7 linked regions of the Sus scrofa genome follow. The protein of the gene in region 3 interacts with the protein of the main gene of each other region in a pairwise test. Links are inferred from orthologs where the notes say so. Each region holds a gene or a part of one and is shown on either strand. Other genes may lie near its edges.

Evidence for each region.
Region 1: the proteins of UBE2K (region 3) and MIPOL1 interact in binary tests that used the Homo sapiens proteins (3 or more experiments, as listed by UniProt). The two-hybrid records come from large-scale screens. The link is inferred for Sus scrofa from reciprocal best matches to the Homo sapiens genes UBE2K and MIPOL1.
Region 2: the proteins of UBE2K (region 3) and RNF114 interact in binary tests that used the Homo sapiens proteins (3 or more experiments, as listed by UniProt). The link is inferred for Sus scrofa from reciprocal best matches to the Homo sapiens genes UBE2K and RNF114.
Region 4: the proteins of UBE2K (region 3) and RNF125 interact in a two-hybrid assay, tested with the Homo sapiens proteins (2 studies listed by BioGRID and IntAct). The link is inferred for Sus scrofa from reciprocal best matches to the Homo sapiens genes UBE2K and RNF125.
Region 5: the proteins of UBE2K (region 3) and RNF138 interact in binary tests that used the Homo sapiens proteins (3 or more experiments, as listed by UniProt). The link is inferred for Sus scrofa from reciprocal best matches to the Homo sapiens genes UBE2K and RNF138.
Region 6: the proteins of UBE2K (region 3) and RNF111 interact in binary tests that used the Homo sapiens proteins (3 or more experiments, as listed by UniProt). The link is inferred for Sus scrofa from reciprocal best matches to the Homo sapiens genes UBE2K and RNF111.
Region 7: the proteins of UBE2K (region 3) and MARCH3 interact in binary tests that used the Homo sapiens proteins (3 or more experiments, as listed by UniProt). The link is inferred for Sus scrofa from reciprocal best matches to the Homo sapiens genes UBE2K and MARCHF3.

Annotation. Positions count from the first base shown.
Region 1 is NC_010449.5:62,793,235-62,797,367, reverse strand, and holds the start of MIPOL1 (mirror-image polydactyly gene 1 protein), read left to right. Parts: upstream 1-1,333; 5' UTR 1,334-1,542; exon of another isoform or gene 1,543-1,719; intron 1,720-4,133.
Region 2 is NC_010459.5:51,525,965-51,528,283, reverse strand, and holds the end of RNF114 (E3 ubiquitin-protein ligase RNF114), read right to left. Parts: intron 2,133-2,319; coding exon 2,025-2,132; intron 698-2,024; coding exon 632-697; 3' UTR 501-631; downstream 1-500. UniProt on the Homo sapiens protein: E3 ubiquitin-protein ligase that promotes the ubiquitination of various substrates. In turn, participates in the regulation of many biological processes including cell cycle, apoptosis, osteoclastogenesis as well as innate or adaptive immunity.
Region 3 is NC_010450.4:30,950,494-30,953,993, reverse strand, and holds part of UBE2K (ubiquitin-conjugating enzyme E2 K), read right to left. Parts: intron 255-3,500; coding exon 155-254; intron 1-154. UniProt on the Homo sapiens protein: Accepts ubiquitin from the E1 complex and catalyzes its covalent attachment to other proteins. In vitro, in the presence or in the absence of BRCA1-BARD1 E3 ubiquitin-protein ligase complex, catalyzes the synthesis of 'Lys-48'-linked polyubiquitin chains.
Region 4 is NC_010448.4:115,895,697-115,899,196, reverse strand, and holds part of RNF125 (E3 ubiquitin-protein ligase RNF125), read right to left. Parts: intron 2,211-3,500; coding exon 2,103-2,210; intron 972-2,102; coding exon of another isoform or gene 936-971; exon of another isoform or gene 462-935; intron 408-461; coding exon of another isoform or gene 321-407; exon of another isoform or gene 189-320; intron 1-188. UniProt on the Homo sapiens protein: E3 ubiquitin-protein ligase that mediates ubiquitination and subsequent proteasomal degradation of target proteins, such as RIGI, MAVS/IPS1, IFIH1/MDA5, JAK1 and p53/TP53.
Region 5 is NC_010448.4:115,954,521-115,958,020, reverse strand, and holds part of RNF138 (E3 ubiquitin-protein ligase RNF138), read right to left. Parts: intron 735-3,500; coding exon 619-734; intron 1-618. UniProt on the Homo sapiens protein: E3 ubiquitin-protein ligase involved in DNA damage response by promoting DNA resection and homologous recombination.
Region 6 is NC_010443.5:112,972,601-112,976,100, reverse strand, and holds part of RNF111 (E3 ubiquitin-protein ligase Arkadia), read left to right. Parts: intron 1-1,495; coding exon 1,496-1,648; intron 1,649-2,681; coding exon 2,682-2,808; intron 2,809-3,500. UniProt on the Homo sapiens protein: E3 ubiquitin-protein ligase. Required for mesoderm patterning during embryonic development. Acts as an enhancer of the transcriptional responses of the SMAD2/SMAD3 effectors, which are activated downstream of BMP.
Region 7 is NC_010444.4:129,911,381-129,914,880, reverse strand, and holds part of MARCH3 (E3 ubiquitin-protein ligase MARCH3), read left to right. Parts: intron 1-110; coding exon 111-315; intron 316-3,500. UniProt on the Homo sapiens protein: E3 ubiquitin-protein ligase which may be involved in endosomal trafficking. E3 ubiquitin ligases accept ubiquitin from an E2 ubiquitin-conjugating enzyme in the form of a thioester and then directly transfer the ubiquitin to targeted substrates.

The sequences.
Region 1 (4,133 bases), on a different chromosome or scaffold from region 3:
TTACTGTTTATTATCCAAAACCCAGAAGAGTATCTGGCACATAGTATATGTTCAGTAAATAGTTGGTGACTTGGAGTTCCTGTTGTGGCTCAGTGGTAATGAACCTAACTAGTATCCATGAGAACTTGGGTTCAATCCCTGGCCTCACTTAGTTGGGGATCCAGTGTTGCAGTGAGCTGTGGCTTGATCCGGTGTTGCTGTGGCTGTGGCCAACAGCTGCAGCTCTGATTCAGCCCCTAGCCTGGGAACTTCCATATGCTGTGGATATAGCCCTAAAAAGACAAAAAAAAAAAAAAAAAAAAAAGTTGGTGACTTAAGGTGATATTTATAAAAGAATACTGATCTGTAGTACAAGAAAACCGCATCTGAATTATTATGCATTTGAATCAGCTATAGTCCTTTCTCGTTCCAACACAAGTTAAGGACTTTTTTTTTTTTTAATTCCGGAAGGTTCAACATTTTGTCTTAAAGAATCAATATATTGAATGTTAAGTATCCATTTCTTTTCATAACTAAGTCAAAAGGTAACTTCTTCCAAGTTTTAGTTTGAAACATTCTTGGTCTAGGAGCTAGGCATTGCTTTTCGCTCACCCAAGTGTAGTCCATCTGCAGCCTTTTTCATTCAACCATTTCCCAACACATCTCTCTTCTCTCCCGAGTTCCCATCCCCACTCTCCCCCTCACCCAAACCATACACAAACAAAACAGAAAAACCACAATTTCACCAGCTCCTGTGGAGACTTGATAACGCTCAAGTTGAGGCCACAAAACTTTTTTTTTTTTTGTCTTTTTGTTTTTTCAAGGGCCGCACCCGCAGCATATGGAAATTCCCAGACTAGGGGTTTAATCGGAGCCGTAGCTGCGGGCCTACAGCAGAGCCACAGCAACGCCGGATTCGAGCCGCGTCTTCTATCTACACCACAGCTCATGGCAACGCCGGATCCTTAACCCACCAAGCGAGGCCAGGGATCGAACCCCCAACCTCAAGTTTCCTAGTCGGGTTCATTTCCGCTGCGCCAGGACGAGAACTCCGACAAGACATGTTTTTAAGGACGCGGTTTCCCCCCTCTATCCTGATTAGGTTTTGTCCAGAGAATATTTTGCTCTCACAGAATGCACCCGTCGTCTCAGAACCGACAGCCTTAGCGCCCTGGGAGCAGCAGAGGAAGGCTATGAAGATCGCCTTCTCTCTTCGCCACTCCAGCCAGCACTTTTGAAGTTCCCGCCTCTGCCAAGAGGCCCCGCCCCCCGGCCCCTGTGGTGCGCCATGCGCATGCCTAGTGCGAGCCGCCTGCCCCCGCCCCGCGCGCGCTCCGCCTCTGTTCCCCGTAGGCCCCCGCGCGCCGCTGGCGGCTAGTTCCCTCCCCAGTCGCACTCTCCCGGGTTGATCGCCGGCGCGCGCACCTCCTAGCGCGGAGGAGTCCCCGACGGGGAGGTTCCGAGAGAGAGACGATTGGCTGACGTGGTGGCTGCGCGTCGGGCCTGAGAAACTCTGGGCGAGCGCGTTGAGTCGCTCCCGGGGCGGTGCGGGGCTCATCTCAGGTAAACCGGTGGGTTGGGAGGTTTGGACGACAAAAGGAGGAGAAAAGGAGGGGTGGGTTTAGACCAGCCTTTGGAATTTCCGGCCGCAGCCTCCTTGGAGAAGAAGGGGGTCACACAGAAACTGCCCCCTCTGAATGTCGGCCCCGAGCGGCCGGGAGTGATGGGGCTAGCTCGAAGGTCAGTTTGGTGTGGTCCTCTGGTCTTCTTGCGCATGATTTCGGCATCTTCCCCTGTTTCCTCTTACAAGAGCTCAGCAACTGAGCATGTATTCAGAAGTGTAGGTTTTTGTTTTGTTTGCTTTTCCTTTAAGAGGCAGTGAGTTAGAGGGTTCAGGTCTAGGCTCAACCTCTGATTGACTCCGTGCCCTTGAGAGTCACTCATTTCGTTGTGTATTTTAGTTCTCACACTTGTTAAGTTTTGGCAGAGTGTGGTGCTTCTTTAGCCATGCTGTAAAAAGATACTGTTAGAATTTTTTTGGTTTACAAAGTCTCTGGGCCCAGATTTCTCTAATTGGAAGGTAACACCACCCAGCAGAATTTGTGAAGTACTTTAAGCTCCATGGATGGAAGGAACTGGATAAACACAAGATAATAGCATTATTAGACAGGATGTCGTAGAAAGAAAAAAGTTTCCACAAGAGCAGGCTTTTTGAAAAGCTCCTTTGAACGTTTTTATGCAGTTTAAATCACAGCGGTAGTAGAAAAAGGTAAGCCAAAACAAAGGGCCAAGCAAAACTGCATTTTAAGGAGACTTTTTTTTTTTTCCGTTCCTCCCGTAACTTTAACAAGTTACTGGCTTTTCAAAGTTTCTTCTTGGGATCTAGTGTGGACCTAAACTAAAATAATGGTTGCAGAAACATTTGGCAATCTTGTGCAGTAGTATACCAAGAAAATTCATTAAAACAAAGATGAATTCTGTTTAAGGTAACAGAAATTAAAATATCTTTCTCATGGGTGAGAGGTAATGATGGCAAATCAGAAAAATGAACAGGAGATGTACACAATTTTCCTTCACAGGCATAGAGTTTGTAGATATGAAATCTTTTTAGTATGCTAATTTTCAAAGGATAATAGACACAGCAGAGTCGGTAAATCATAAGTATATAGCTCAATGAATTTTCACAAAGTGTACCTTTCCAAGTGTTCAGTAGCTAGATCAAGAAAGAGCATTGTTTGCATAGTGGAAGCCCCATTTGTGTCCCTTTTCCAAAGGTAGCCATTATCTCAAAAAAAAATTTTTTTTTTTGTCTTTTTGTTGTTGTTGTTGTTGTTGCTATTTCTTGGGCCGCTCCCGCGGCATATGGAGGTTCCCAGGCTAGGGGTCCAATGGGAGCTGTAGCCACCGGCCTACACCAGAACCACAGCAACGCGGGATCCGAGCCGCGTCTGCAACCTACACCACAGCTCACTGCAACGCCGGATCGTTAACCCACTGAGCAAGGGCAGGGACCAAACCCGCAACCTCATGGTTCCTAGTCGGATTCGTTAACCACTGCGCCACGACGGGAACTCCCATTATCTCAATTTTTGACATCATCAGTGAATTACTTATTGACTTCAGATAAATGGAATTGTGCAGTATACAGTCCTTGGTGTCTCACTTGGTTAATATTATATTCCTGAGGTTTATACAAGGTATGTAACAGTAGTTTGTTCTTAATACTGTACAGTATTCCATCCAGTTTTTGGTTATTATCAGCAGGACTGCTATGAACATTTTGTAAGTATTTTGGTGAGCATCTGTGTACACTTCTGTTGGATGTTGGATGTGGATACCTACTGGTGAAATGACTGTATTATCAGATGCACAGATATCTAGGTATATACTAACAAAGTTGTTCAAAGTAGTTATGTCAATTAATACTCCTGTTAGCAGTGTTTGAGGATTCTGGCTTCTCCAAAAGCTTGTGACATTTAGCATCATCCTTTTCATTTTAGCCATTCTGGTGGGTAGTGATATCATGTTGGGAGTTTCCCTAGTGAATAATGATTTTTAATACCTCTTCATATCCCTCTTTGCCATTTGGATATCCTTCATTCCCAAGGGTCATCACATTTTTTGTAAAGGGCTGGGTAGTTAATATAGGCAGTTCTTGCTTTGTAGAATTTCACTTAAAGCAGTACTGTGTGCAGCTAGGACTGCCCTATTTTATGCTTTGCAGGCCGTGTACAGTCTGTTGTATGTATTTTCTTTCTTCCTTTCCTTCTTTTTTCTTTTTCTTTCCTTTTTTTTTTTTTTTTGCCTGCTTGTTTGCTTGCTTCCCTACCTGCCTTTCCTCTTTTCTTCTTTCCCTTTCTTTCTTCCTCCCTTTTTTTCTTTTTTCCTTAATTTTCTTTTTCTCCCTCCCTTAATTCTTTCCTTCCTTCCTTCCTTCCCACTGCTATATTGAAAAATGACTGTTCATAAATGACTGATATGGTCATTGGTGGTGGTGACATCATTAGATGGGGCTATACTGGAAAAAGTATTCATACATAATAGTATTAAGTAGTATGTGCTGTAGGGTTTAGGTTTTATATTTCAAATCTTTAAACATCCTCTTCGCTTTTTACCAGTTTACCTCGACTAATTAGAGACCTATTTGAGACCTC
Region 2 (2,319 bases), on a different chromosome or scaffold from region 3:
CTGAACCAGTTAAATCCTAAGGGTGTGCAGGAATGATAGGAAAATCTCACTCATCAAAACTTCCAGCATCAGACCATGTTCAACCCAGAACATCCACCCTAACAAGACCTGTGAAATGTTTCCCATGAGGTAACTCTAGCTCCTGGCAGCTGCCGCCAAGGACCAACCAACAGGAACCTGCACAGCACAGGAGGGGGCGCTCCATCACCCATCACCCCATTCTTGCTGGCGCTCACACCCCTTGGGGACAAGGGGAGGAGATGCTTGTTTCATTTGTGCTACTCATGACCCAGAAAAGGTCCTGGCTGGTTCGGAGGACCTGAGAGATCAACAGTGGACAGGAGAAGCAGGCATGAAACGAGGACAGGTGGAAAGCTGGGTTCCCTTCCAAAGAGGAGGCAAAAGCTCCAGGAAATGGCTGAGGAGCAGGAAAAAACCGGACAGATGACAAACAGTGAGCAGTAGGGGAAGAGCCCCAAGGAAAGGAGGGCTTGACTGGGGACCTGTTCCCCTGTCAGAAGTGACCCCGTCCCAACACCAAGGCTCACTTCCAGGTCTGTGGGACATTTTAGGTGGAAGAGTCACATGTTTCACGCGGACACACAGTGGAAGCTCTGGAGCCCGCGCCTGCTCACTGGTCAAGGAGGGAGCGTTGCAGCACTTGGTTCATCATGTCCTCTTCGTCAACGTCGTAATCCTACGGGCAAAGCAGAGGCTCAGCCTCAGGGACCGCCTGCAGCTGTGAGGACTTTTAGTCAGGGAGCAGAGCCTCCGAGGGGTGGGCTTGGGAGAGGCCACTGTTTTCGACGCAAGCTGCGTGACTCTGGGCACACAGCTTGCTCTGTGCCCCTGCTGCCTCACCCTGGTGGTGAACATGAGGGCTCCCTCAGACGGGATGGTGAGACCCAGAGAACACCTGAAGGAGGCCTGGCACAAACCAGCTGCTCAGATGGAGCACCCTGCAGTGAAACCAGACGTTTTGGTGCAATGAGGCAAAGTTATGTATATGGGCTCTACTGGGGAACTGATTTCATCTTTCTCTTTTTATTTTTCGGCTACACCTGTGGCATGTGGAAGTTCTTGGGCCAGGGATCGAATCCACACCACAGCAGCAGGCTAGGCTGCTACAGTGACACTGCCAGATCCTCAACCCACTGTGCCACAAGGAAACTCCCAATAAAAGGTTTACTTTGAACAGCTGGCCAGGTTTCTGCCACTAGAATGCCAGGACAACAATGTGTCCTTCAAAACAGCTCAGCTCCAGAGAAAGGATGTAAACTTGATGACACATTTGGCTAGTTGATGCATTTAGCTTGACCTGAAGTACTTAAAAAAATAAACATGGGGAGTTCCTGCTGTGGTGCAGTGGGTTAAAAATCCAGCATTGTCTCTGCGGCAGCTCGGGTCCCTCTTGAGGTGCAGGTTCAATCCCTGGCCTGGCATAGTGGGTTAAGGATTCCGTGTTGTAGCAGCTGTGGAACTGGTCGCAGTTGCAGCTTGGATTCAATCCCTGGCCTGAGAACTTCCATACAGATGCGGAAAAAAAGGGGGAGAGGTGATGCTTCCTATGGAATTCTGCATTTCCAGCTTACTGAGGTTAGGGCCGGGGAGAAGCCTGGCAATACCGTGCCTTCATTTCCCAACCATGACTATCAGCTGGAGATGATGGCAGCATAACCCGAGTCATGCACCACCCAGCCTGCGATTCCTTACGAAAATCACTTGCCACAGACACCTGAACTTAAGGATCTCAAACCAGGTTCTGTAACAGGTAGAAACCATACACTGAAAGAAAGTGGATAAAGGTTTTCATAAAGATAAAAAATAAAAGCAAGCTTTACTTTGCCTCAGTCTAGATGACTGGCCAGTTCATCTTCTTAAATACCACACAGCTGACATTTCAGGGAGCCCATCACGTTAGTGACAAAACTCCCCAAGGGGACTCATAGTTCTCCAGGTTAGAGAAGGGAGGTAGCTGTTCTGTCCCCCAGGGGAAGGAATTAGAGCCCAGGCTCCAGACTTACCACGAAAGTGTCGTAGGAAAACTGGTGCCGACGCTGGATGTGTTCTATGAAGTTGGCGCTCCGGTAGTTGGGGTCTCCCCACGGCATCGAGGCACATATTGGACAAACCTTTCAAAAAAGAAGCATGGTCTTAGGTACTCCATGACTGAGCTGCCATTAGCCCTCTGTGACCTGTATCTGGCCGCCTTTCTCCCAGGACAGCTGTCCTGACCAGAGCCTGGTCACATCTTCAAGGTCACATTCACATCCCAGAAGACATGGTCAGTCTCCTGCTGGAGTCCAGTGACATGTAGGA
Region 3 (3,500 bases):
CGCGTCTTCCTTATTACACCTAATAATCTGACAGCAAGAAAGGAAACCATTTCAAGATTTAGTTTCAACAGGAGGATATTTATCTGTTAACACTATAAACCACTAGAGAGTCACAGATAAGAAAAAGAACGGCCTTCAAAAGCAGCTGCCTTACCTGATTCGCTACTACTGCATCTTGTGGATCATCTGGTTCTGCAGCTGCCAGTAGTGCTTGCAATGACAATAATACTGTGCGCAGAGTCATTGCTGCTGCCCTAAATTCAAAATAGGAAGATATTCCAGTTAACAAGAGTATGGATGATAAAAACAAAGACATTTTCTAAATAAAACATGAAAACTACTGAAGCTAAAAAAAATAGTCTTAGAAATTTATAATTATATACCATTTTTTTTTCTTTACAATGAATGAGTCTACTTCTTAAGACAAGGCAAACTGCCCTTAATTGGCTTAGTTTTTTCTTATTGTTGACAACCTACTTTTGGTCAGCCTTTATCGACTGACTTATCCATTTCTATAGACATAACTTTAAAATACAGTGATAAACTACATGTGAAACTTCCTTTCTGTCACACTCTAAAAACAAGACACATCAAACAAATCTCCTTTACTTTCAAGAAAGCCTAAAATCACTTAAAGGGCATACACTAAGTGAAATAAGTCAGACAAAGAAAGACAAATGCAGAGTCTACAACGAACTACTGAATATAACAAAAAAAAGCAGCAGACCCAAAGAGAACAACAAACTAGTTGTTACTAGCAGGGAGAGAGAAGGGAGGAGGGGCAATATAGGAGTGGGGATTTAAGATGTAACTACCGTATAAAATAAGCTATAAGGATGTATTGTACAACATGGGGAATATAGTCAATATTTTCTAATCACTATAATGGAATATAACTTTTAAAACATGTGAATCACTATACTGTACAACTGTAACTTAAATAATACCATACTGGAGTTCCTGTTGGTGGCTCAGCTGTGGCAACTCGACTAGTATCCAAGAGGATGCAAATTCGATCCTTGGCTTTGGTCAGTGGGTTAATGATCAGGCATTGCTGTGAGCTGTGGTGTAGGTCAAAGAGGCAGCTCAGATCTTGTGTTGCTGTGGTATAGGCCGGCAGATGCAATTCTGATTTGACTCCTAACCTGGGAACCTCCATATGCCGCAGGTGTGCCCCCTCCTCCAAAAAAGGTACAGCAACTAAACTCCAATAAAAAATCTTTATTTAAAAGAAAGCCTAAGAGTTCCCATTGTGGTTCAGGGGGTTAAGAACCCAAGATAGTTTCCATGAGGATGTGGGTTTACTCCCTGGCCTCGCTCAGTGGATTAAGGACCCAACGTTTCTGCAAACTACAGCATGGATTGCAGACACAGCTCAAATCTGGCATTGCTGTGGTTGCAATTTAGGCCTGCAGCTGCAGATCCACTTCGACCCCTAGCCTGGGAACTTCCATATGCTGCAGGTTTTGCTGTAAAATGAAAAATAAAATAATGTTTAAAAATAAAAAACGAAGAGTTCCCGTCGTGGCGCAGTGGAAACGAATCTAACTAGGAATCGCGGAGTTGCGGATTTGATCCCTGGCCATGCTCAGTGGGTTAAGGATCCAGCGTTGCCGTGAGCTATGGTGTAGGTCAAAGACGCAGCTCAGATCCCGAGTTGCTGTGGCTGTGGCGTAGGCCGGCGGCAACAGCTCCGATTAGACCCCTAGCCTGGGAACCTCCATATGCTGCAGGTGCAACCCTGAAAACAAAAAAGAAAGCCTAAAATCATTCTATAAATGGTCTAAAAGGAGAAAGTTTTTTCCTTAATGTATAAATTAATTCATTAAATACTGAAACAGCAGAATAGTGAAATTTATTTGTCTTACTCACACGCCTGTGTATGCGCGCATGTCTTTTTAGGGCCAGACCCAAGGCATACTGAAGTTCCCAGGCTAGGGGTCGAATTGGAGCTCTAGGTGCTAGGCCACACCACAGCTACAGCCACACAGGATCCAAGCCTTGTCTTCGACCTGCACCACAGCTCACAGCAACACTGGATTCTTTGACCCACTAAGTGAGGCCAGGTATTGAACCTTCGACCTCATGGATACTAGTAGGGTTCATTACAGCTGAGCCACAATGGGAACTCCAATAGTGAAACATTTTATTTAATTTTTCTTTTTTTTGGTCTTTTGTCGTTTAGAGCATACCCTCAGCATATGGAGGTTAGCAGGCTAGGGGTCAATTTGGAGCTGTAGCCACCAGCCTACACCACAGCCACAGCAATACCGGATTCTTAACCCACTGAGCAAGGCCAGGGATCAAACCTGTGTCCTCTTGGATCCTAACCAGATTCGTTTTTGCTGAGCCACGACGGGAACACCTAGTAGTGAAACATTTTAAACACTGAGGATTATTATACTACATGTCCATTTTACCACACAAATTAGATACCTCCCAAGCAGTCTTTTTCAACTGGGTTCCTCATTTTAACCACTGAACAAAGAAAATTACTGAATATTTTCTCAATTTCTCCAAGGAAATTGTACCATCCTAGATGCTTAGAAAAAAAGTTAATTTATTACCAACAATGAATGTTTTAAAGAAATGTATCTCACAAAGTGTGGTTTCCTCAACCAGAAACATCATCACCTGGGAACTTGTAAGAAATGAAAATTCTTGGCCTCGTCCTTTATCTACTAAATCAGAAACTCTAGAGTGGTTTAAGAGTTACTCCAAGTGATTATGATGCAAACTAATGTTTGCATAATACTGCTTTAGTGCATTATAGCTTAAGCTAATTGAAAAAGGCTGTTCTGGAGTTACCGTCGTGGCTCAGTGCTTAATGAATCCGATTAGGAACCATGAGGTTGCGGGTTCGATCTCTGGCCTTGCTCAGTGGGTTAAGGATCTGGTGTTGTCGTGAGCTGTGGTGTAGATTGCAGACGCGGCTCCGATCCCGAGTTGCTGTGGCTCTGGCATAGACCAGCAGCTACAGCGCCTATTACCCTAGCCTGGGAACCTCCATATGCAGAGGGAGTGGCCCTAGAAAAGGCAAAAAGACAAAAAAGAAAAGAAAAGAAAAAGGCTGTTCTAAGCCAATAAAATAAAATCGATATCACAAACACAGGTCTATATTTTACCTATTAGAAAAAAAATTATACTAGAAATGGCTCTTTATCTAAAATACTATCAGAATTGTCATCTATACTAAATTCCACAAAATGCATACTAATCTACAAGAGGAGACCAGTACTTACTGAGAAATGGCGGAGTAGCAAGTGTAGCAAGGAGTACTTACAAAAGGACACTAGGAGACCTTTTGGTATGTTGGTTATGTTTGCTATTTTGATTGTATGATGGTTTCATGGATGTGTATATACATCCAAACTCATCAAATTGTTCAATATGTGATGTTTACAATCAATTACACCTCAACAAAGCATTTTAAAAAGTTGTGTTCTAAGAGTTCCCTGGTGGCCTAGAGGTTTAATGATCTGGCATTGTCAATCCTGTGG
Region 4 (3,500 bases), on a different chromosome or scaffold from region 3:
GGAACTTAAAAGTTTTTTTTCCTCTCTCTCTCCCTCCCCCCCCCCCCACCGCTTTTTTTAGGGTCACACCTGTGGCATATGGAAGTTCCCAGACTAGAGGTCTAATCAGAGCTGTTGCTGCCAGCCTACACCACAGCCACAGCAACGCCAGATCCGAGAGCGTCTGCAACCTACACCACAGCTCACGGCAATGCCGGATCCTTAACCCACTGAGCGAGGCTAGGGATCGAACCCACTGAGCCATAAAGGGAATTCCTTTAAGTTTTTAAAAAATATGATCTCTTAGTTTTTAGTTAACATCACAAACCCTGGTCAGAGTGCTAGCCTCCACATAAGCCTGTAATATGGAATAAAGCTAGGACATTCTGACAGAATTTACCAATCCCAGCAATACTGAATATCCAGTTCTGAAAAAAAAAAAAAAAAAAAGTTGAAAACAAAACTCTCTTTCTCATTGCCTCCTTAGATCGAAACAGAATTGAAAACTTCATGTCAGCACATTCTATAAGGAAAACAAAAACAATCAAGAGCCCCATCCCCTGCAACTTATTTCCTCTTTGCCAATAAACGAAAAAATAAAATAAAATCTTTATTGGAAGTCCACTCTAAAACATAAAAGCAAATAAATAACCCCCAAAGGAAAGCCATAAAGCACAGCAGAGCACAAGATCTGGACTCAACACCAGGTTGTTCTGAAGCAATTTATTAACCTTTGAGAGTCAGATATTTCATAACTAAGTGAGGATAATAAAATAGTACTCAATTTACGGAAGTTGCTGCAAGGAATAAAATGAGATAATCTGAATAAAGTGCCTAGCAGAGTACTTCCTAGATTAAGAAACAAGAAATCAAAACAAAGAACACTGTTTCAAATTGACTTCCTCATCCAAGAACATGGTTTTGAGTGGGTGGAAAGACTTCTCATCAAAGTGGCTTCATCCTGACCAGTCCGGAATCATACTCTGTAAGATCTTGAGAAGGGACTGCACATGAATAGCCAGAACAGGTATGGAATCAACCTGGCTTTTAGAATGTCTTATGGAGCTAAGATAAAGAGGTACCCCTATGTGTTGTAAAAATGAGAACATGTGGACCAGAAGAAGGAGGCTCTGTTGGAGGCTTGTGTGCCTTAGTGGCCAGAAAAGACTTGACGGAGAGACGTAGGGAGTTCCTACTGTGGTTCAGCAGGCTAAGAACCTGACTAGCATCCATGAGGATTCGGGTTCCATTCCTGTCCTTGCTCAGTGGGTAAAGGATTTGGTGTTGCCATGAGCTGAGGTGTAGGTCACAGACGCGGCAGCTGCAGCTCTGATTTGACCCCTCGCCTGGGAACTTCCATATGCTGCAAGTGTGGCCCTAAAAAGAAAAGAAATGGAAAAAAAAAAAAAAAAGGAGTTCTCATTGTGGCTCAACAATTACAAACCTGACTAGGATCCATGAGGACATGGGTTTAATCCCTGCCCCCAATCAGTGGGTTAAAGATCCGGCGTTGCTGTGAGTTGCAGTCTAAGTTGTAGATGTGGCTGGCAGCTGCAAGCTCTGATTTGATTCCTAGCCTGGGAACTTCCATATGCTGCAGATGAGGCCCTAAAAAGGGAAAAGGAAAAAAAAAACAAACAAAAAAACTATATAGCCCATGTGTCTCACTACACTGATAGTGTCGTATCTGTTATTAGCCATTCAATGTATTATAAAATGAATGCAAATTCTCTGAGCCATTTCATTAGTGATATGGTTTCCCCTCAGCTATGTAGGTTTTTAACCTCATAAAAATTATAACTATATATAGGGAGGCACTAGAGTAGAAATTAAAATAATTTGAAAGCGAAATCTGGGACTTTATACAATGGCTGTACAATGGCTTTACAATGGCTAATATCACAAAGAAAATGATTTTGTCCAAGGCAAGTAACTACTTCAGTATTAACAGTCAATTTATAAAAATACTGTGCTTTATGATTTCCTACTTAACTATAATATTTAACATTTCACAGCTACATGTAATTTTTTCCTCTATAATCTTATTCACTTGGATTAAGAAAGGTAAGCTTATTTAACATATAGCATAAAAACATAATGAAAAAGTAAGAAAATATACTTACTATGAAATCATCATAAAACAAAGTGTGATTGACTTGCAAATGTCTTATTAAGCTGCCAGTGAAGCTGCCTGGATTCTCATTAGGTATTAAACGGCAAAGTGGACAGAACTGGAAATAAACAAGATCAGAGTTCAAGAAAGAATTTTAAATAATCATTAATATCAGAATTAAAAAATTAAATAACTTTAACAAGATGAATTTTAATTTTATGCAGCTACTAGCCATATTTGGCATTATGTTTTATTTATTTATTTATTTTTTTGTCTTTTTGCTATTTCTTGGGCCGATCCCTCGGCATATGGAGGTTCCCAGGCTAGGGGTCTAATCAGAACTGCAGCCACCGGCCCATGCCAGAGCCACAGCAATGCAGGATCCCAGCCGCGTCTGCAACCTACACCACAGCTCACGGCTACGCCGGATTGTCAACCCACTGAGCAAGGGCAGGGACCGAACCCGCAACCTCATGGTTCCTAGTCGGATTCGTTAACCACTGCACCACGACGGGAACTCCTATGTTTTATTTTTAAATTTTAAAAATTTTGTCCACACCCAAGGCATGTGGGAAGTTCCTGGGCCAGGGATCAAACCTGCACGACAGCAATGAACTGAGCCACAGCATTGACAACACCAGACCCTTAAGCTACCAGGTCACTAGGGAACTCCAGCATTATGTTTCAGAATTGCATAAATATTAACACAACATAAATAAATAAAACTACATTTATTTCTTCATCTGTATTTCTCATATAAGAGTATGGCTATTTAGGAAGTTCCTGTGTGGCATAATGGGTTAAGAATCTGGTGTTGCTGCAGCTGTGGCACAGGTGGCAACTCTGGCACAGGTTTGATCCTAGCCTGGGAACTTCCACATGCTGTGGATGCAGCCAAAAAAAAGAGTATGGCAATTTGCTTCATATTTATTAGCTAATATTACAGTTAAATGTACAATAATTTACTTCATTAGTTACCTACCTCTTGGACTTCTGGAATACTTAAGTCTTCTTTGTATGTGAATATTTTGTTACTATAAATTACATTACCTATATTATTTACTTTTGTGGGGATTATTTTCCTAGGATAAATGACCATAAATAGAGATGAGAAAGTCAAGTTATGAACATTCATGGCTCATAGTATACACTGCTCTATAGCTCTGGGTTTGGTTTTTTTTTTTTTTTTTTTTTTTGTCTTTTTAGAGCTGCATCTATACCACAGCCATAGCAACGCCAGATCTGAGCTTCGTCTTCAGTCTATATCACAGCTCACGGCAATACCGGATCCTTAACCCACTGATCCAGGCCGGAGATCAAACCTGCATTCTCTACGGCATTGCCGTGAGCTGTGGTGTAGGTCGCAGACGTGGCTCGGATCCCGTGTTGCCATGGCTCTGGCGTAGGC
Region 5 (3,500 bases), on a different chromosome or scaffold from region 3:
TACCAAGTCTCACTTTTACATAACATTCTATCAAGACAATTTCAAAAACATTATTTCTTAAAGAGTCTAAAAAGATTCAAATTTGCAAATATATTACTAAAAGGGATTTTCTCTAGTTTTCAAGTAATTACAGTTGCAAAAGAAAATGCCTTCAACTCACAAATCTTTTTATTTAGACATGTAAATTTTCTTTTTTTTTTTGTCTTTTTGGGGGCACCCGCAGCTTATGGAGGTTCCCAGGCAAGGGGTTTAATTGGAGTTGGAGCTACAGCTGCCGGCCTATACCACAACCACAGCAACGTAAGATCCTTAACTCACTGAGCGAGGCCAGGGATTAAACCCGCAACTTCATGGTTCCTAGTCGGATTGGTTTCCACTGTGCCACGACAGAACTCCCTAGACATGTAAATTTTCTCAGAATGATTTTTATACAACATGATCCTAAGTCTATTATAAATTCAATCTTCCATATGGAATTATATGTGTCAAACTTATGAATACAAAGGCAATTTACTTTAACATAGATGTAAACAAAACAAAAAACACCTTATCATATAGATCCCCTAAATTTCCATTTTAACCATAAAAATTCTCTTTTTAAGAATAAATATGGCTTACCTGTTCCCTACTGAATCTTGAGAGATCTGAAAGTTTGGAATGATAGAGGAAACACCGTATTCATCTTGATACTTCTTACAAGATTTGTAATGATGTCTCATACGATAGAATTTAATCTGTAAATTATTGATTAAAATACAATGTGACTTTCAAAAGAATAAACATTACATCATTCCATTTATACAATGGTACATAGAATAGGGAAATTCACAGAGACAAAGTAAAACATAGGTTACTAGAGGGGACGAGAAATGGGAAGTTACGGTTTAATGCATACAGAGCTTCTGTTTGGGATGATAAAGAAATTCTGGACAGAGAGTGGTGACTGTTATACAATGCTGTGAATGTACTTAATGCCACTGTACTGCACGCCTACAATGGTTAAAAAGGTACATTTTGCATTATGTATATTTTATCATAATAAAATTTTTTTTAATTTTAAAATATTATGTGACTTTATTTTAATTTTCTATTTAGGGCAGCATCTGCTGCATATGAAAGTTCTCAGGCTGAATCAGAGCTGCAGCTGACATCCTATACCACAGCACAGAGCAACACCAGATCTGAGACCTACACCATGGCTCGTAGTAACGCCAGATCCTTAACCCACTGATCGAGGCCAGGGACAGACCCGCATCCTCATGGACACCATGTTGGCTTCTTAACCCGCTGAGCCACAATAGGAACTTCAAAAAATGTAATGTGACTTTTAATTTAAAATGGAATTCCTCCTGAGACTCAAGATATTGTCAAAAAAAAAGATAAAAATATACAACGAGGCGTTCCCGTCATGGCTCAGCAGTTAACGAACCCAACTAGCATCCATGAGGACATGGGTTCGATTCCTGGCCTTGTCCAGTGGGTTAAGGATCCAGCATTTCCGTGAGCTGAGGTGTAGGTCACAGAGGCAGCTCAATCTGGCATTGCTGTGGCTGTGGTGTGGGCTGGCAGCTACACTTCCAATTCGACCCCTAGCCTGGGAACCTCCATATCCCGCGAGTGCTGCCCTAAAAAATAAAAAAATAAATAAAAACACAAAATAGACAATTAAATATTCCATTTAAACAAGTTTTTTTTAAGTAGATAATTTAAGTCTTAAGTAGGAATTGAAAATAAGCAGTAAGTTTCAGTCCATTAAACACAGAGACAATAGAGGCGAGTCTAACCGTTCATAAACTCACCTCAAAAATTAGCAATGTTAGGAGTTCCCGTCATGTTTCAGTGGTTAGTGAATCTGACTAGGAACCATGATGTTGCATGCAGGTTCGATCCCTAGCCTTGCTCCGTGGGTTAAGGATCCGGCATTGCCGTGAGCTGTGGTGTAGGTCGAAAACGCTGCTCGGATCCCACGTTGCTGTGGCTCTGGCGTAGGCCGGTGGCTACAACTCCAATTCAACCCCTAGGCTGGGAACCTCCATATGCCTCAGGTGCGGCCCTGGAAAAGACAAAAAGAAAAAAAGATAAATAAAAATTTTATACTTTAAAAATGCTAATAATAGACAAAAAATAAAATTACAAGTATTAAGAGGTTGCTGCATGGCACTGGGCATCTTTTTTTTAGAATTTTGTTTTGTTTTGTTTTGGTCTTTTTGCCATTGCTTGGGTCGCTCCCTCGACATATGGAGGTTCCCAGGTTAGGGGTCCATTTGGAGCTGTAGCTGCCGGCCTACACCAGAGCCACAGCAATGCCAGATCCGAGCCATGTCTACGACCTACACCACAGCTCACGGCAACGCCGGATCCTTAACCCACTGAGCAAGGCCAGGGATCGAACCTGCAACCTCATGGATCCTAGTCGGACTCGTTAACCACTGAGCCACAACAGGAACTCCGATTTTTACTCTTTAACTATTGCAACCTGGCAGGTAGAAAGTGCTTAAAAAAACTAAGTTCCTGAAGTTCCTGTTGTGGCTCAACGGTAACAAACTCGACTAGTATCCATGAGGATGTGGTTTGACTCCTGGCCTCACTCTGTGGGTTAAGGATCTGGCACTACAGGCCAGCAGCTGCAGCTCCGATTCAACCCCTAACTTGGGAACTTCCATATGCAGAAGATGTGGCCTTAAATAGCAAAAAAAAAAAAAACAAAAAACTGAGTACCCAAGTAACTCTTGGGACATTTTTTAGTTTCTCTCTGAGGAGTTGAGTCAGAATCTCTCAACTGCATTTTCCAGTTTCATTTCACTGCCCTGTCAGTTAACAAATCCCTCCAAGAGATGGACAAGCAGATTATGTCTTTTGTGACTGCATGAAACAGCAAATGGTTTTGCCCACTGACTTTATTAGCTCTTTGAAAAAGTAGTTGTGATAAATCCATAAATTAATGGATATACTCCAAGCCTAACCATCCCTCACCATTTCACTCCCTTTCCAAATGACAGAATAAAATCTAGATTGGGGAGTTCCCATCGTGGTGCAACATAAACAAATCTTACTAGGAACCATGAGGATTCGGGTTCAATCCGTGGCCTTGCTCAGTGGGTTAAGGATCCCGAGTTGCTGTGAGCTGTAGTGTAGGTCGAGGACGGGGCTTGGATCTGGCGTTGTTGTGGCTGTGGTGTAGGCTGGTGGCTACAGCTCCAATTAGACTCCTGGCCTGGGAACCTCTATATGCCATGGGTGCAGCCCTAAAAAAAAGGACAAAAGACAAAAAAAAATAAAATAAAATCAGTAAAAAAATAAAATAAAATAAAATCCAGATTGGAGAATTAATGTCAGTTATTGCCAATACTTGATTTTGTCACCAGAGAGAAAAGTAAGCAAAGTCTTCTGCCAAATATTTTGTACATGAATATTCAAGTACAGTAAGCAAGCAGCTAAAGAGTTGACAACATAAATTCATTTGGCTCATTTCTATGTACAATTGAAATAATGATGCTACC
Region 6 (3,500 bases), on a different chromosome or scaffold from region 3:
AGAAGGGTATTGGAATTTTCAACAACTAATTTGAAAAATCAGTCATTGAAAAATCAGTCTTCTTAACTAGCTTAGTTTATTTATAAATTTAAATATTAAAATATTCCCCATACATTATGAAAAGAATATAATTGAACTTTTTTTTTTGGTCCTTTTAGGGCCGCACTGGTGGCATATGGACGTTCCCAGGCTAGGGGTCAAATCGTAGCTATAGCTGCCAGTCTACACCAGAGCCGTAGGAATGCCAGATCCTTTAACCCACTGAGCAAGTCCAGGGATCGAACCCGCGTCCTCATGGATGCTAGTCAGGTTCGTTAACCACTGAGCCCTGACAGGAACTCCTAACTGAACTTTTTAAATTTCTTTTAAAAATTCAGGACATGATTTTCTAATTTAGGGCAGCATATTTTATTGGTCTTATTCTTCCTGCCTGTTTTTTTAAGGTGTTATAGGAAAACCACTACACTTGTTCATTTATATATTGTCTGTAGCTTCTTTCACACTGCAGAAACTAAGTTGAGTAGTTGCCACAGAGGCCATGTGGCCTATAGAGCAAATAATTTTGCCCTTACAGAGTATTTGCAGAACTCTTGATCTAATTAATGATCTGGCACTTGTGTAACTTCTTTCTTTAGTTACATAATTTAAGGTTATATCTGGAATCTCTGGATGTTGCTGCCATTCTAATATTAGACCCTTATTAGACCCAACTTTCTATATAAAGTTGCCAGTTTAACATTCATATTTTTCTGGTATCTAGAAAATTACTTGTTCTAAATCATTTAGATTAAACTTGCAAAATCTGTAAATGTGTTCAAAACTAATAGAAAGTAAGAATGAGACGATAAAAATGAATCCCTGGAACTTTTTTCTTTTTTTTTTTTTAATGCCATTTGCTCAGAACGTTATGACCATTTGCATTTGTAAGTTTGACAAATTTTAGACTAGGAAGAGAAAGTATAATAATCTGGGTTGATGAATAAAGAGTGTAAATGGAACTAATATTATCAGTTTCCCAGATGTGTTGACATGTATTTGCATGTGTTTGAAAAAATGCATAAAGTTAAAAATTTTTTCTTAAAAGCTTTATGTATTAAAATGGGTGAATATTATAATAATTTCTTTGTGCCTACAGCATTTGGAGTGTTACTTTATAAAATTTTATTTCTGTTCATAGTTTGTTATTCTATTTAAAATATCTGCCATAAAAACAAACAAAAAAAATTTTTTTTAATCTCCCATAAAGAAGATATGCAAGATAATGTTAAAACTCCCTTTTGCTTTGGATGGTATGTGAATTGGAGGCATTGTAATTAATGAGCAGTGAGAATTTGTGGGATTATGGTTTCTTGATTTATTAATCATTAAATTATATTACATTTTTATAATTTATTGTTACCAAAATAAGTTCATGACTAATGTGTAGATGTTATAATATTAATACTAGATTGTTTTTTCTACATTAAGAAATAACCAATTATTCAATTATTTCCAGTGGTCTTTTTGTGTTCTGTGTTTCCAGGCGGGCACATGAGCGCCCCCCACCCCATCCACATAGGATGCACCCAAACTATGGTCATGGGCATCATATTCATGTGCCTCAGACTATGTCCTCACATCCTCGACAGGCTCCAGAGAGATCTGCCTGGTCAGTATCTTGTGTATTTCAAAGTTGTGCTTAAGCTTCTTGCTGTAAAAAACCTTTGAAAGACATAATTTGTAGTGGAATGCCATACAGAAGGGTAATACGGAGAAACTGAATTCCAGCTTAGCTGTTGTGCTATCTCTGGACAAGTCGTAGAGACCTAGGGATGAAAGAGTTGCAGCTTGAGTTCTGGGGCAGGAAACCTATGTCAGACAGGAGTAGAGCTTTTTGGTTTTTTTCAGGGATCTGCTATCAAAGTTCACTCCCTAGATGGATCCTACCTTTCACAACTTCTTTTATCCACCACCTCCACTTTTGTACTCACAAAGGTGTAGTACCACCCTTAATTCCTGCTAGTGACAAGGGAAATCCAGCCTTCATCCTCCTAGGCTGGTGTTCTTTCCTAGACTAATGGAAGCGGATTTGGATTAAAATTTTCTTTCTGGATCTCTTGTCTGTAGAAGTCATTGAGATCTTGAGTCACAGTGACTTTTGAGGCAAAGTCGTAAAATGAGAATAAATAAATGAAGATCTGGCATTTACCAATTTTACTCTTTCTAAAGTTTTGTTTGCCCTTGCTTTGTAAAGTATAGAAGTGTTTACTCTTCTAATTATCCTTGATACCAACAACCCAGAGGCACTATCCAACAAGCAAAAGCCCTGGGAGCAACATTCATATAAATCAAAAAAGTAAACTCTATTCTGTGTGCTTAAGTAGAATCAGACTTAGATTGGAAAGAACCTTAGGGGCCATTCACTGTATTTCCTTCCTTTGTAAGATGTGAAATTGAGTACAGTGCTTTTCATTTGTACCATGCTCCTCATGATCACAAAATTGAATTTTTGAATTTTAATTTCTGAAGTGAACTTGAAATTATTAGTTATATCCTTTGGGCTAAATTATGTTTTTTCTCAGCTAAGTTAGTTAAGAAACTTCAGATTACTTTTAGAAATGTAAACATACTCCCCCATTCCTGTGGATAATAAGGACATTGTAAGGATGTCTAAAATTTGATCTGTTCTCATCCTTTGTCAGGGAACTGGGAATTGAAGCTGGAGTGACTGCAGCTACTTACACACCTGGAGCATTGCACCCTCACTTGGCCCATTACCATGCACCCCCTCGACTACATCACTTACAATTAGGAGCTCTTCCTTTAATGGTAAAATAGGAAAATTTCAAAATTTGGGTAGAGTTTCCTTTGAAAACTATTCTTCCTTTTCTTAAATATTTTATTGGAAATAGTTTAATAGAAATTGAGAATTATTAGATGGAAATGTGCTGTGAGAATGTGTTACTTATATTAAAATATATGTTTAGGAGTTCCCATCGTGGCGAGGGGAAACGAATCCGACTGGGAATCCTGAGGTTGCAGGTTCGATCCCTGGCCTTGCTCAGTGGGTTAAGGATCTGGCGTTGCCGTGAGCTGTTGTGTAGGTTGCAGATGAGGCTCGGATCTGGCGTGGCTGTGGCTGTGGCGTAGACCGGTGGCTACAGCTCCGATTAGACCCTCAGCCTGGGAACCTCCATGTGCCACAGGTGTGGCCCTCAAAAAAAAAAAAAAAAAAAGTGTTTGTATTTGCATTGTAAAAAAGATAATTTTTTTTCATTTACACCGAGATAATAACCTTGATACACTCTTCACTAGCATGTGTGCTTTGTGTTATAAGTAGTAGTGGGTCTGTTCTGATGCATGCATACTTTTCTGATAGCAGAAGGAGTGTACTGATTGATACTCTATATACAATTTGAGCAGGTTCAGATTTTGTTGATTCCAATTTGAGTTCTAAAGAACAAGTTCAGCAAAAATGAAGTTTGCTCTTCATAATACAGAGTATGTGGTACAGAGAAGTG
Region 7 (3,500 bases), on a different chromosome or scaffold from region 3:
TATTCTGAGCAGCTGCCACAGGGGAGGGTCTGAAGGACGTGGCCAGAGGACCATGGTATGGTGGTGGTTTCCAGCCCAGTGACCAACAGGTGCCCCTCCTTCTCTTGCAGCCCCTTCAATGACCGGCCAATGTGCAGGATCTGCCATGAGGGCAGCAGCCAAGAGGACTTGCTCTCTCCATGTGAATGTACAGGGACCTTGGGGACAATCCATCGGAGCTGCCTGGAGCACTGGCTGTCGTCCTCAAACACCAGTTACTGTGAACTCTGCCACTTCAGGTTTGCAGTCGAGCGCAAACCCAGGCCGTTAGTGGAGGTCAGTAATTGGGGCACGTCTTGAGAACTTAACTCTAATGAGCAAATGATGTCTGCTTTTATGCCCACATCACAAACCCTGTGCAGCTTCACTGAAGCACAGTAATAACTGTGACACACACACATACACACGCACACAGCCCACATTCAGGAGTCAGCACTAGAAAGGTGACCTCCATGAGCTGGAGACAAAATAGTAGAAGAAACCAGTGTGAGGAGAAAGGGGACATTTAGAGACTTGATCTCCATTTTCCATTCCTGGGACATGGAGCAAACAGATCAGATGTTTTCTCTTTGCACATCATCTGCTCACCTTGAAGCAACAGATAAATGGGCATTTGGGTTGCTTATTCTGAGAAGTCGTTGCAAAAACATATAACTGCATGATAGAATGGATATAGACCTAGACTTCTGGGTTTGAATAGTTCTACGAACTTGGGTAAGTGATTTCACCTCTTAAAATTACCATGAGGGTTAGATGAGTTAATATTTATAAAACACTTATAATACCAGGTTATACATGCAAGTGTTTGAGTAAAAGTCTCATCTAGGAAATTGCACACAAGGCTTTTTTCAGCTAATAACCTAGTACTGCAATCTCTTAAGAGTGATGCTGTCGGAGTTCCCGTCGTGGCGCAGTGGTTAACGAATCTGACTAGGAACCATGAGGTTGCAGGTTCGGTCCCTGCCCTTGCTCAGTGGGTTAACGATCCGGCGTTGCCGTGAGCTGTGGTGTAGGTTGCAGACGCGGCTCGGATCCCGCGTTGCTGTGGCTCTGGCGTAGGCCGGTGGCTACAGCTCCGATTCAACCCCTAGCCTGGGAACCTCCATATGCCGCGGGAGCGGCCCAAGAAATAGCAACAACAACAACAACAACAAAAAGACAAAAGACAAAAACAAAACAAAACAAAACAAAAAAAAAACAAAACAAAAAAAAAAACAAAAAAAAGAGTGATGCTGTCAATGCAGCCATTAAAATGGCAGGACAGGAGTTCCCATTGTGGCACAGCAGAAACGAATCCGACTGGTATCCATGAGGATGCAGGTTTGATCCCTGGCCTCGCTCAGTGGGTTAAGGATCCAGCATTGTTGTGAGCTGTGGTGTAGATGCGACCCTAAAAAGAAAAAGACAAAGGCAGGACATTCCCTTTCCTGTTTTAAGGGCTACGTGATTCTTCTTTAGACCCAGGGTCTAGTCTTGTATGGCTGGGGGAATTGGAAACAACTATTAGATTATGTTTCTCTTCTCTCCTATACCCAACTTCTAGTCCATCAAAAGGGAATCTCCATAGGGCAGGTGTGGCCCTAAAAAGCAAAAAATCCAAAAAAAAAAATCATTCACACGCAATTATGCTACCAAAGCCAAAAATCATGAGAAGACGAGGGTACAAATGCAGGTTACTGGAAGTGTGTTCGAAATTAAGAGATCAGCAACTGTAAAAATTTAGTGTATATATATATATAGAGAGAGAGAGAGAGAGACTCCTATATCTAAACTTCATGGTTACTGCAAACCGAAAATTTACAATAGATACACAAATAAGAAAAAAGAAAAAAAGAAAAAAATGAGATATTGGCAACAGTAAATATTCTAATATACCGTGAACCTAAGCTAGTTGAAAGGGACCAAGACATTGGCCTAAAATCCAGTAGGGCCGATAACCTCCTCCTTATTTCAGCAGCTGACCCAGTGGAACTTGGGCCTTAAACTAGAGCTTGCAACCAAGACCTTCTTGGAGGCTACTTAAAATGCTGTGTTAGCGCCTCGGCGCTAAGGCTCCAGAGAGCTTTGCTTATACATTCTCTTCGTTTTGACCTTGAACCTTTAAACATCAGGACCTATAACTGAGGCCTGTTTTTAGCTAAGACCTGCTTGCCAAATGGCACACAATTGATTTGACTTGCCCCAATAAATTCTGTGCATTTTTTTTAAGACTCTGGACCAAGTGACGTCTTAATTTAGGCATCTTGCTGCTTGCCATCGACTTTCAGAGTCTCAGGTTGGTAGGGTGCCACGAGGGATCTGGCCCCATGCCATGTGCACTGGGATTTATACTTCAGAACTTCTCTACAGAGGGAGAAGTATAATTAAACAATAAACGAAGGAGGTGAAGATTTCCAAGCCCAATGGCAGAAGTTAAAAAGAAACCTATTTCTCCTTTCCAGAAACTTTTTGGAAGCTCCCCAAGTTGATACTGCAGCTTCCTCCAGGAAAGCTGGCTTCCCAGAACAAGGAAACCCCGCTTTGGATGGGCTGCATGTAGCAGTCTCTTTTACTGGTATCTCCCTAGTAAAAAAAAAAAAAAGACTTCTAATCTTGCTTGGTAAAAACCCCAACGTGTGTGTGCTTAATAGATAACAAAGGAGGGTGTGTGTGTGTGTGTATGCATGTCAGACTAACATGCATGTGTCAAATCACGCAGTCTCAGGAGGGACTCATACCCCCACACACAGGTTTCTTCGGAGCTGCTGATGTTGGGCTGGAGGCAGACCCCAGGATCTTAGGCAACTGTCATTAAGCAGGAAAACAAGGCGAATGACCTTGAGAATGTGTGACGGGCTCTGCAAGATCGAGGGCCTCGCCTACAAAAACTTCACCCAAGCGGTCACTGGTGGTGAAATTTTCATTGCACAAATGGAATGTGACGTTTTTCAGAGTTAATGATGATTGAACAAGTTGAAAGTGAAAGGCAGACCTTCTCCAGCCGGGGAGGCTGGCCGTTTGATCATCCCGTGGCGAAATGAACTTGCCGTTCGACCACAAGCAATAAAAGGAAGTTGTCTTTGGTTTCTCAGCTGGAGGACAAATGAGAACCAGGTGCAGGCAGATTTTTAGACAAATGACATTACTAATTGACTTTTCTCCGCTTCCCCAAGGGTGGGTTTATTCAGAATGAGCGTTGCTTCTCGATATGTTTCCCTCGAGATGAACAGGAATCTTTTTAGTAAATCAGCAAAACCTGCCTGTTTGGGTTAAGCATTAGGAGTTGTGTTACTTTATTTCTCATTTCCACTCTTTTAATTGCTTTAATCATTACTTTATTTACCAGTTGGATCTGCCTTCTCATTAGAGCAAGAAAATTCCATAACATTTCATTTCAAAATCGATGTGCTAATAACAACTCCCATTGCAAGAGGAAGCGGTTGAAAAAGTCATTTATAAATTTTATTTGTCAGCATCCAGAC